Neurospora crassa OR74A: one gene and its partner. The protein of the gene in region 2 interacts with the protein of the main gene of each other region in a biochemical or structural test. Links are inferred from orthologs where the notes say so. Each region holds a gene or a part of one and is shown on either strand. Other genes may lie near its edges.

Region 1 (3,287 bases), on a different chromosome or scaffold from region 2:
TTTCTCATGCCCAGGCAGATAAGGACGAAACGCCAAACAAGTGTAACACCGCTGTGCCGATATCCAAAACACCAATAGCTCTATCCAAGAGGGAGGTACGTAGATGTATACTGGGGACCGCAGAACAGATGGTCGAATATGTCTCGGTCTAATCTTGAATAGAGGTGGAGCAACGTCGGTGGGTGAGTGCAGGTCAGCGGTCCAGGGACTGCTTCTAAGTGCTGCTTGTTCTGCCGCTGTACTGTGTTGGAACCTGAATAGAAGGATGGATGATGATGAACAATAACGATGGATCGGCTGAAAGCGACTAGATGCCGGACTACGTAACGATATGGTGCAAACTATAGGTAGGTAGGTATGTGATAGAGAAAGAGAAGAGTAAGGGGAACCCGTACTGATGCAGAGGTAGCTTCCACAAGAAATCGATCCTATGCCGCCAGCTAAGAATGTTGTCAATGGAAGGATGGAAGTCGACAAGGTGCGGGATGTTGCGCGTCGCATTCAAGTCGCGGCGGCCAACCTGACACTCTCCGACAGCCTTCGATTGACTGCAGTGGCTCGTCCTGCAGTGGTCAGTCAGTGGTCGCGCGCACTGGTCGCACTGACCATGCCAATGGGACATGAATTCTCGGTAAAGCAATTTACCTTCTTAAGGCAGCCCCCACTGCCAAACCGATCTCGGATATGCAAGGAACGAGTCGATCTAGTTGCGACAAGGATTCGCAGGTTCTGACGGTGATCCGGAAAGCCGGTTATCATGGCACGACACAACCAAGACATAATCTATACCCAAGGGACCGTTCATAATTGTGCCGAATCACTGGAATTTGATATGGTAACTGATTTAAGTTAATTATCCTCTGCTATCAGAGAAGCCCCGTCGACCACCACCTTTGGACTTGTTGGCCTGCTAAATCAAAGCTGGTATTGGTATCCCGTCATCATTCCTGCAACCTCGAACAGGTGTACTCTTCGCCAACCCTTCACTCATAGTATTAAACATAGCCTTTTCTTCCCGTGTCATTCGTGCAAAGCGACTACTAAACAGGGATTTTCGTCTGCAGCCATTTAGTCCCAGCTGAGGTTCAGTTCGTTAGCAAGACAGCTCTTCTCAAATCTGCTTCTCAAGATTATAACTTACCCAGTATCCTTCTGCCTGAGCTTACCTCCTTCTTTGTCCTTACCCTGCGACTTGTTAGATCACCTCTGATCTACTCCACGGAACGGTTCAGGAAGACTTACCGAGAGCCCGCCCTCAACGACCAAGCGGTCCTGTTGGTAAAACTGGCTAATGACTGTTTGGCGCTATTCCAATGTCAACTTCTCTGTATTCTCCAAGTCGCGTCTCAGCTCGAGTGCCCGGCATACCTTGAGCATCTGAAGATTCTGTAACCCTTTCTGCACAAGTTCCTGCACCTGTCTAGGATCCTCCACGTTCTTGTTTTCCCTGAAAGCGTCTCTTGTGCGGCGCTTGGCGTATTCTCTGAAGTTGTAAGAGGAAAACTGATTTCCCTGGCGCAAAAGCTGACGATACTGTTGGTTCAAAGCAACGATGTTAGCGTTTGCGTTGTTCTAGCCCAAATACCGTTTACGATCCAGGGAAAGAAGTGCGCAGAAAGGCATGCTACATACCAGCGACAGAACTTTGCCGGCTGACTCGCCAGTCCTTGCGACGGTAGACATATCGATCAACTTCCTTTCCCGTTTCCCTCTTTTGGCCTCTGTGCTGCTTGGTGCGTACGATTTGGTATGCTCGTGCCTCGTGGAGAAACTCGTGAGTGTGGTAGGAAAAAGGTGCTGTAGAAGTCAAGGCGCCGGCGAATATGGCTCGTCGATCAGTCGTGATGATGCGTTTGCCTTCGTCAGCGTACGGCGAAAGCTCGGACGTCCGCATTTCAGATGTGGTTCGGCGACCTTGGCGCGAGTACTGGGTGGGTGGCTCGGATATGTACATACACTATGCGTAAGCATGACCGAGATCTACGGGTACTCAGCATCTTGATAAATGTATTCATTCATGTCTGTGGCATATGATGGCTTACAACGTCCTCTTCCTTCCTCTCGCCCGTTCAGTCACTTCTCGTTCACTAACCCTTCCGCTTCCGGACCTTTGTCCATCACTGCCATTTCCCAATTCATGGTTCCCGTTACAATTTTTATAATGACTGTTCGGCCCCGAGTCTTGCGCCACTGCATATTCGAATTGTTCTTTCCGGTTTCAAATGCCTCCTTGCACTCAATCAAATAGCCACAGCAAGAAGCATACTGAACACGCCGAGCACAATGCCTCTTTTTCTCAATCAAAGCACCCCGAATAAACTCAGTTCCAAGTGTTTCCATCGTGTCACCAAAAAAAAAAAAAAATGGAAGAAAAAAAATAAAAAATTCTACAGCTTCGTCACGGGCTCTCATAACCGAGCAGTCGAGCAACCAGCATCGGACTGTTCATCTTCGGTTATCCTCACAACCGCTCAGCTATCTCTCGGAGCCCTAGAGATCGGAAAGGATACGGGCGTTGAGTTCTTTCATCAAGACGAAGTTCTCAGGATTCAGCGAATGACCGGAGGCCCTTATATAAGGAGAGCCCTCCTGTACGCTGACCGGCAAAGGCATAGCCGGATCGCTTGCCTGAGCCAGTTGTCTTCTGGAGGCACCCTGCCCACCGCGAGGGATGCCCGACCAGATACAGCTTGATTTGATACTCAAGGACGCGCGCACCGGGAAGAATCCAAGATCTTAGTTGACGGGTGTTGAATGGTTAGTTTTCGAACATTATCACGTCATGCCGTGGGAAATTCACTGCTTCTGACATCAAATACACTTTATAAAGTTCATGCAAGATCGGCCATCAAATCGCGGCAAGGAGACACGGCTTTTCCGGCATATCGCGTGTCAAACCTGACGTCTTCGTGAGGCTGGAGTCCTTGGGGATCACAAGATGAACCGCATATCGGGCAGGTTGGGCTCTGCTTCAACCAGATGGGCTGCCTGATGGAAGACAACCACCAAGAAGCCTGCATGACGGCCTCGCGGTGGTCGGGGTTTAAGCAAAGCTTCTAATGGTCTACCTCCATGGTTTCCACCAGAGAAATGGCTTGATACGGCTGGGTCGCTGTACCAAAGGAATATCGACATCGGGAACTGGAAGGGTTGACATGACTGATGATGCAACCCCGGACTCCATCTTGGGTCTCGCTTTAGCTGAGCCTGCCATCGAGATCCAAAGGTCATGTTCTGGTCTCCGCGTTAACCAGCAAAACAACTTCAACCAGGATGCCTCAAACAGT
Region 2 (4,488 bases):
TACCGAAATCTTGGCCTGGGGTTGGAGGCAATGACGGACTGGAGAGGCCTGAAAATGGCCATGTGAGCCTTGTGTCAGTTCATCACTTCCGAAATGTCTAACCCGCTTTTTGCTCTAATTGGTCCAGTCATGGTCTTTCTTGTTTGTTCCAGTTCGTAGCTTCCAGCAACTTACTAGTCATTGCATGTGGCAGCAATGTCCATTGGATGGCCTTACCATAGTGTGTGCCTGTGAAGATGTCGTTTGTAGTCTCACAAAGCACACCAGAGACTATGATGTCATAGGCGAGAGGCTGCCAATAGGGGTTCGTTCGTCAGTTCATCCCACCATCTCAAACGAAACTGTGACATCATAAGTCGTCGCAGCCACCAACGAGCCGAGCTAAGCCCCTCAACACCAAGGCGGTTTTCAGGTGGAACCCTTGACCCTTAGTTCTGAGAACGTACACTACTATGTACACACTCACTCATTGTCTGGCCTTCGACCTCGGTAACTGGCCACATTGTATACGCACGCCCTTTGTAGAGTTCTTCAGCAGAACCATCGGGTTGGGGGGTTCAGAACAGTCACAAAATGGACACGATCTACACACAGCCAAAGTCAAATGGAAAAAAAGACGTTTATCAGCCACAGTGCTGGGGAATTATGTGTATCCATTATATGAATGATGAATTGTTCTTCTGACACCTCCGAGCGCCGCCTCCCAGCCCTATGGTATCATTCTCTTGCTCATCAAAACAAAGGTCATCCGCAAATATCGCTTACATACATGATAGTATACAATGGGTCATGTTTTGCCCCTTGCTTCCGTCCTTGCGGGAGCCTCGGCAATTCGTAAAGTTGGCCGTATAAACAACCCGAGCGGCCTGTAGTGTTTGTGAAAAGGCAGCGCAGCGGGAGAAATAAAAATGCAATAGAAACTCCGCCCAGTTTATAAACCGTGTTAAAATACCGCACATCAACCACATCATGTCACCTCTCAGTGCTGACTCCACTGGATCGTGTTCAGGTCGATACCCTCCTGGACGAGCTCCCACAGAGGAGAAAGCTCACGGAGGAAGCCCACACGCTCCGTTACGGCCTTGAGCACGTAGTCGATCTCCTGCTCGGTAGTGAACCGGCCGATACCGAAACGGATACTGGAGTGGGCGCTCTCATCACTGTTACCCAAAGCACGGAGAACATAACTAGGCTCCAGAGAAGCCGAAGTGCAAGCACTGCCAGAAGAAAGTGCAATATCCTTCAAGGCCATCAAGAGGGACTCACCCTCGACATAGGCGAAAGAAACGTTCACGCAGCCGGGGTAGAAGTGGTTGGGATCACCGTTCTGGCTGGTGTGCTCCATGGAGAGCAGACCGTTGAGAAGACGGTCGGAAAGGTGCTTGATGCGCTTGGAGTCGTACTGTTGTAACAGTTAGCGCCCATCCTTGAACGAGAGATGCATTAAATGTGGGATATGGAAGAATCATGATCAGAGAAGTTGCTGTCTATCAACAAGGAGTCCTTGTCACGGGACTTCAGAAAGCCATGCATGTGTAAAGCGACTCATCATAAAAGGGGCAAAGGAAGACAAAAGAGACTGTAACATACCGGCATTTCTTCCTTGGCGATGCGGCACGCCTCTCCGAAGCCGACAACGAGCGGAGGAGCGAGCGTGCCGCTGCGAAGACCTCTCTCCTGACCACCACCGCTGATAATGGGGTCCAGTCTGACTCTTGGCCGACGACGGACGTAGCATGCACCAATGCCCTTGGGGCCGTAAATCTTGTGGGAGGAGATGGACATCAAGTCAATGTTCATGGCGTTAACGTCAACGGGGATCTTGCCAACAGCCTGGGCAGCGTCGGTGTGGAAGAAGATCTTCTTGGACCGGCAAAGCTTGCCGATTTCCTCGAGGGGTTGGATGACACCAATTTCGTTGTTGACAGCCATGATACTGACGATGGCGGTGTCGGGACGGATGGCAGCCTCCAGCTCCGCCATGTCGATCAGGCCGCTGCTCTTCACTGGGAGATAGGTCACTTCGAAACCCTCGTCCTGGAGATGCCTGCAGCTGTCGAGGACACACTTGTGTTCTGTCTGGCTGGTGATGATGTGCTTCTTCTTGCCGGACCGGCCAAAGAACCTAGCGACGCCCTTGATACTCATGTTGTTGCTTTCGGTGGCACCGCTGGTGAAGATGATTTCCTTGGGGTCAGCGCCAATCAGATCAGCAATGTGTTTCCTCGCCTCTTCAACGGCCTTGTCAGTCTCCCAGCCGTAGGCATGTGTCCTCGAGTGGGGGTTGCCATAGACGTTGGTGAAGTAGGGCATCATGGCATCGAGCACTCTGGGGTCGATGGGGGTTGTGGCCTGCATATCCAGGTAGATGGGACGCTGTCCCTCATCCATCACGGTAGCATTGCTGAGAACATCTAGTTGAGTCAGCAACGAGGACGACTGCGCAATATGTCTCCGAAGAGGTGGGAGGTGATGATGATGCTTACCAGCCATGGGGCTGACGTGTTGGCTCGAGCCATTTTGCGCGCTTATAGTGAGGCCCTGCTTCTCCATCTCCCTGTGATCCAGCTTGATAGCATGCTCGGCCTGCACGTCGGCGTTGTTCCTCTTGGTCTCGGTCACATAGCTCCTGGAAGCAGAAGCAGTCTTGACAGCAGCCGCAGTAGTCGCCCGCGACAGCACACGCGCGCTGCGGAGAGGAGCGGCCGCGGCCAAGCGCGATGCCTGTCGCAAGACGGACGGCGCAATGGTGGACATGGTAAAAGGAAGAAGAAAGAAGGAGAGGAAAAGAGAATATGGTGGTGAGGGTGATGGCGGATGAGGGAGAAAAAGTTCGTTTTGTAACCAAACCTACAAAAACGGATGGAGGCAGCGGGCGGGGCGGCTCAAAACACACTCAGAAATTCAGATGGAGCTGCCGCCTCCCGCTCTTCGGCGGTCGGAGTGGAATTTCCGCCATACAGAAAAGAACAAATCGAAACAAACGGCATCCGCACGCGGACTTGGCCTCGGAGGGGTCGGTGATAAAGGAATGTGCCAATGAGGGGCGACAACCAACAAGGTTTGGCACTTTGATTGGTCATTCTGCCATCGGATGGCCCCACCTGTTTCTTTCTCGGACATCGGACAAGCGCGTATGTACGTACGGCGAAAATGACGCTGCTCCAAAATGTTAGAGAATGGGCCGCCGGGCATGACGGAAACTGAACGCTCGATGTGCACCGCGGCGACTGACTTGACAAATACAGTGCGGAATGTCCACTTGTGAAACGGACTCCGCGGACGCATCTGATCCATCATTGCACAGAAAGGAAGAGCACTGACCCGGGGCAGGCATCCATCTGTTCTCTCAATCGGCATGTCCACTGGGATGAAAGCTACACTACAGCGGGCCCCAGACCCAGTCGGTCTACCCCGTCGTTCCAATTCGTTCCTTTCCGGGGTCTCATCGACCAAAAGCAGAACAACCGATGACGGTACCTATTTACCTCCTCGGTAGTATTCTGTTTCCATTCGCATTGGATGTCTGCGTTGGACTATAACTTGAACCATCAGTGACATGCCATATAACCGCCGACAACCTACTTGAATTCCATTTACACTGCTAAACTATTTAGTAGCATCTTACCTCTAGGACAGCTACCTCTAGCTACTTTACCTCCTACCGTTGAAGACCGAATCCTCCCCGAGGAAGTTTGTCGGACCTCGAACGGAACTGCTGACAAGGGTCCGACCGACGGGATTCAAGAACAAACCGAAATCACAAGACGCCTAGACAAAAAGACTTTTCACACTACATCTTGGAACGAGGTCGCTGTGTGCGGCGTGTCCAACATTCAGCAAATAGCAGCGCCACGCAAACCGTCGCAAGCTTCGCTCAGCCAAGACTTCGTCCACCAGCCAAACGACCTGCACCGCCCCCCTGCCCACCCCCAGCGTCATCACCATCGTATCCGGATCCGACTTGAAGAGGGCACTCGACCACCGATTGCCTTCAACCTCTCCGAACAGCAACCCGCTTTGCGCATCTCCATACAAACACCGAATACACATCAGACATCATACGGCTTCGTAGCAGAATATGAGCTTCAGGGGCTTCCAAAAAAGCGTGGTCCGCGTAGGTTCTGCCCCGCATACCTAGTTGATCTCACCTCCCCTAGTTTCGGTTACAGCGTCATCATCACTTCCGCCCTTCCCGTCGAGTCCCCCGTCTGTGGCAGAAATAGCGCCGAATCACTCGGGTTGGCAAACAGGCACTAACACGACAGAAACCAGGCACCACAACAATTCAAGCAAAAGTTTAACCTCGGCGAGCATACCAAAGACCCTGTCTACATCGACTCGGAGCGCAGATTCCAGGAGCTCGAAACCGAGACCAAACGCCTTCACGATGAAAGCAAAAAGTACTTTGAGGCCATCAATGGCATGCTGCAACACCAAATCGAGTTCTCAAAGGCAATGACCGAAATCTACAAGCCCATCAGCGGC

What was found.
Region 1: the proteins of NCU04636 (region 2) and NCU02007 form a complex in vitro, tested with the Saccharomyces cerevisiae proteins (3 studies listed by BioGRID). The link is inferred for Neurospora crassa OR74A from reciprocal best matches to the Saccharomyces cerevisiae genes NFS1 and ISD11.

What each region holds. Positions count from the first base shown.
Region 1 is NC_026501.1:1,696,386-1,699,672, reverse strand, and holds NCU02007 (iron-sulfur cluster biosynthesis protein Isd11), read right to left. Parts: upstream 1,890-3,287; 5' UTR 1,684-1,889; coding exon 1,633-1,683; intron 1,534-1,632; coding exon 1,369-1,533; intron 1,306-1,368; coding exon 1,243-1,305; intron 1,186-1,242; coding exon 1,142-1,185; intron 1,079-1,141; coding exon 1,069-1,078; 3' UTR 811-1,068; downstream 1-810. Other genes in the region: NCU02008 (hypothetical protein), read right to left, coding at 2,491-2,735, 3,069-3,231.
Region 2 is NC_026505.1:1,377,217-1,381,704, reverse strand, and holds NCU04636 (cysteine desulfurase), read right to left. Parts: upstream 2,969-4,488; 5' UTR 2,758-2,968; coding exon 2,487-2,757; intron 2,415-2,486; coding exon 1,591-2,414; intron 1,403-1,590; coding exon 980-1,402; 3' UTR 618-979; downstream 1-617. Other genes in the region: NCU04637 (BAR adaptor protein RVS167), read left to right, coding at 4,082-4,117, 4,276-4,488. UniProt on the Saccharomyces cerevisiae protein: Catalyzes the removal of elemental sulfur from cysteine to produce alanine. It supplies the inorganic sulfur for iron-sulfur (Fe-S) clusters. Plays a role in both tRNA-processing and mitochondrial metabolism.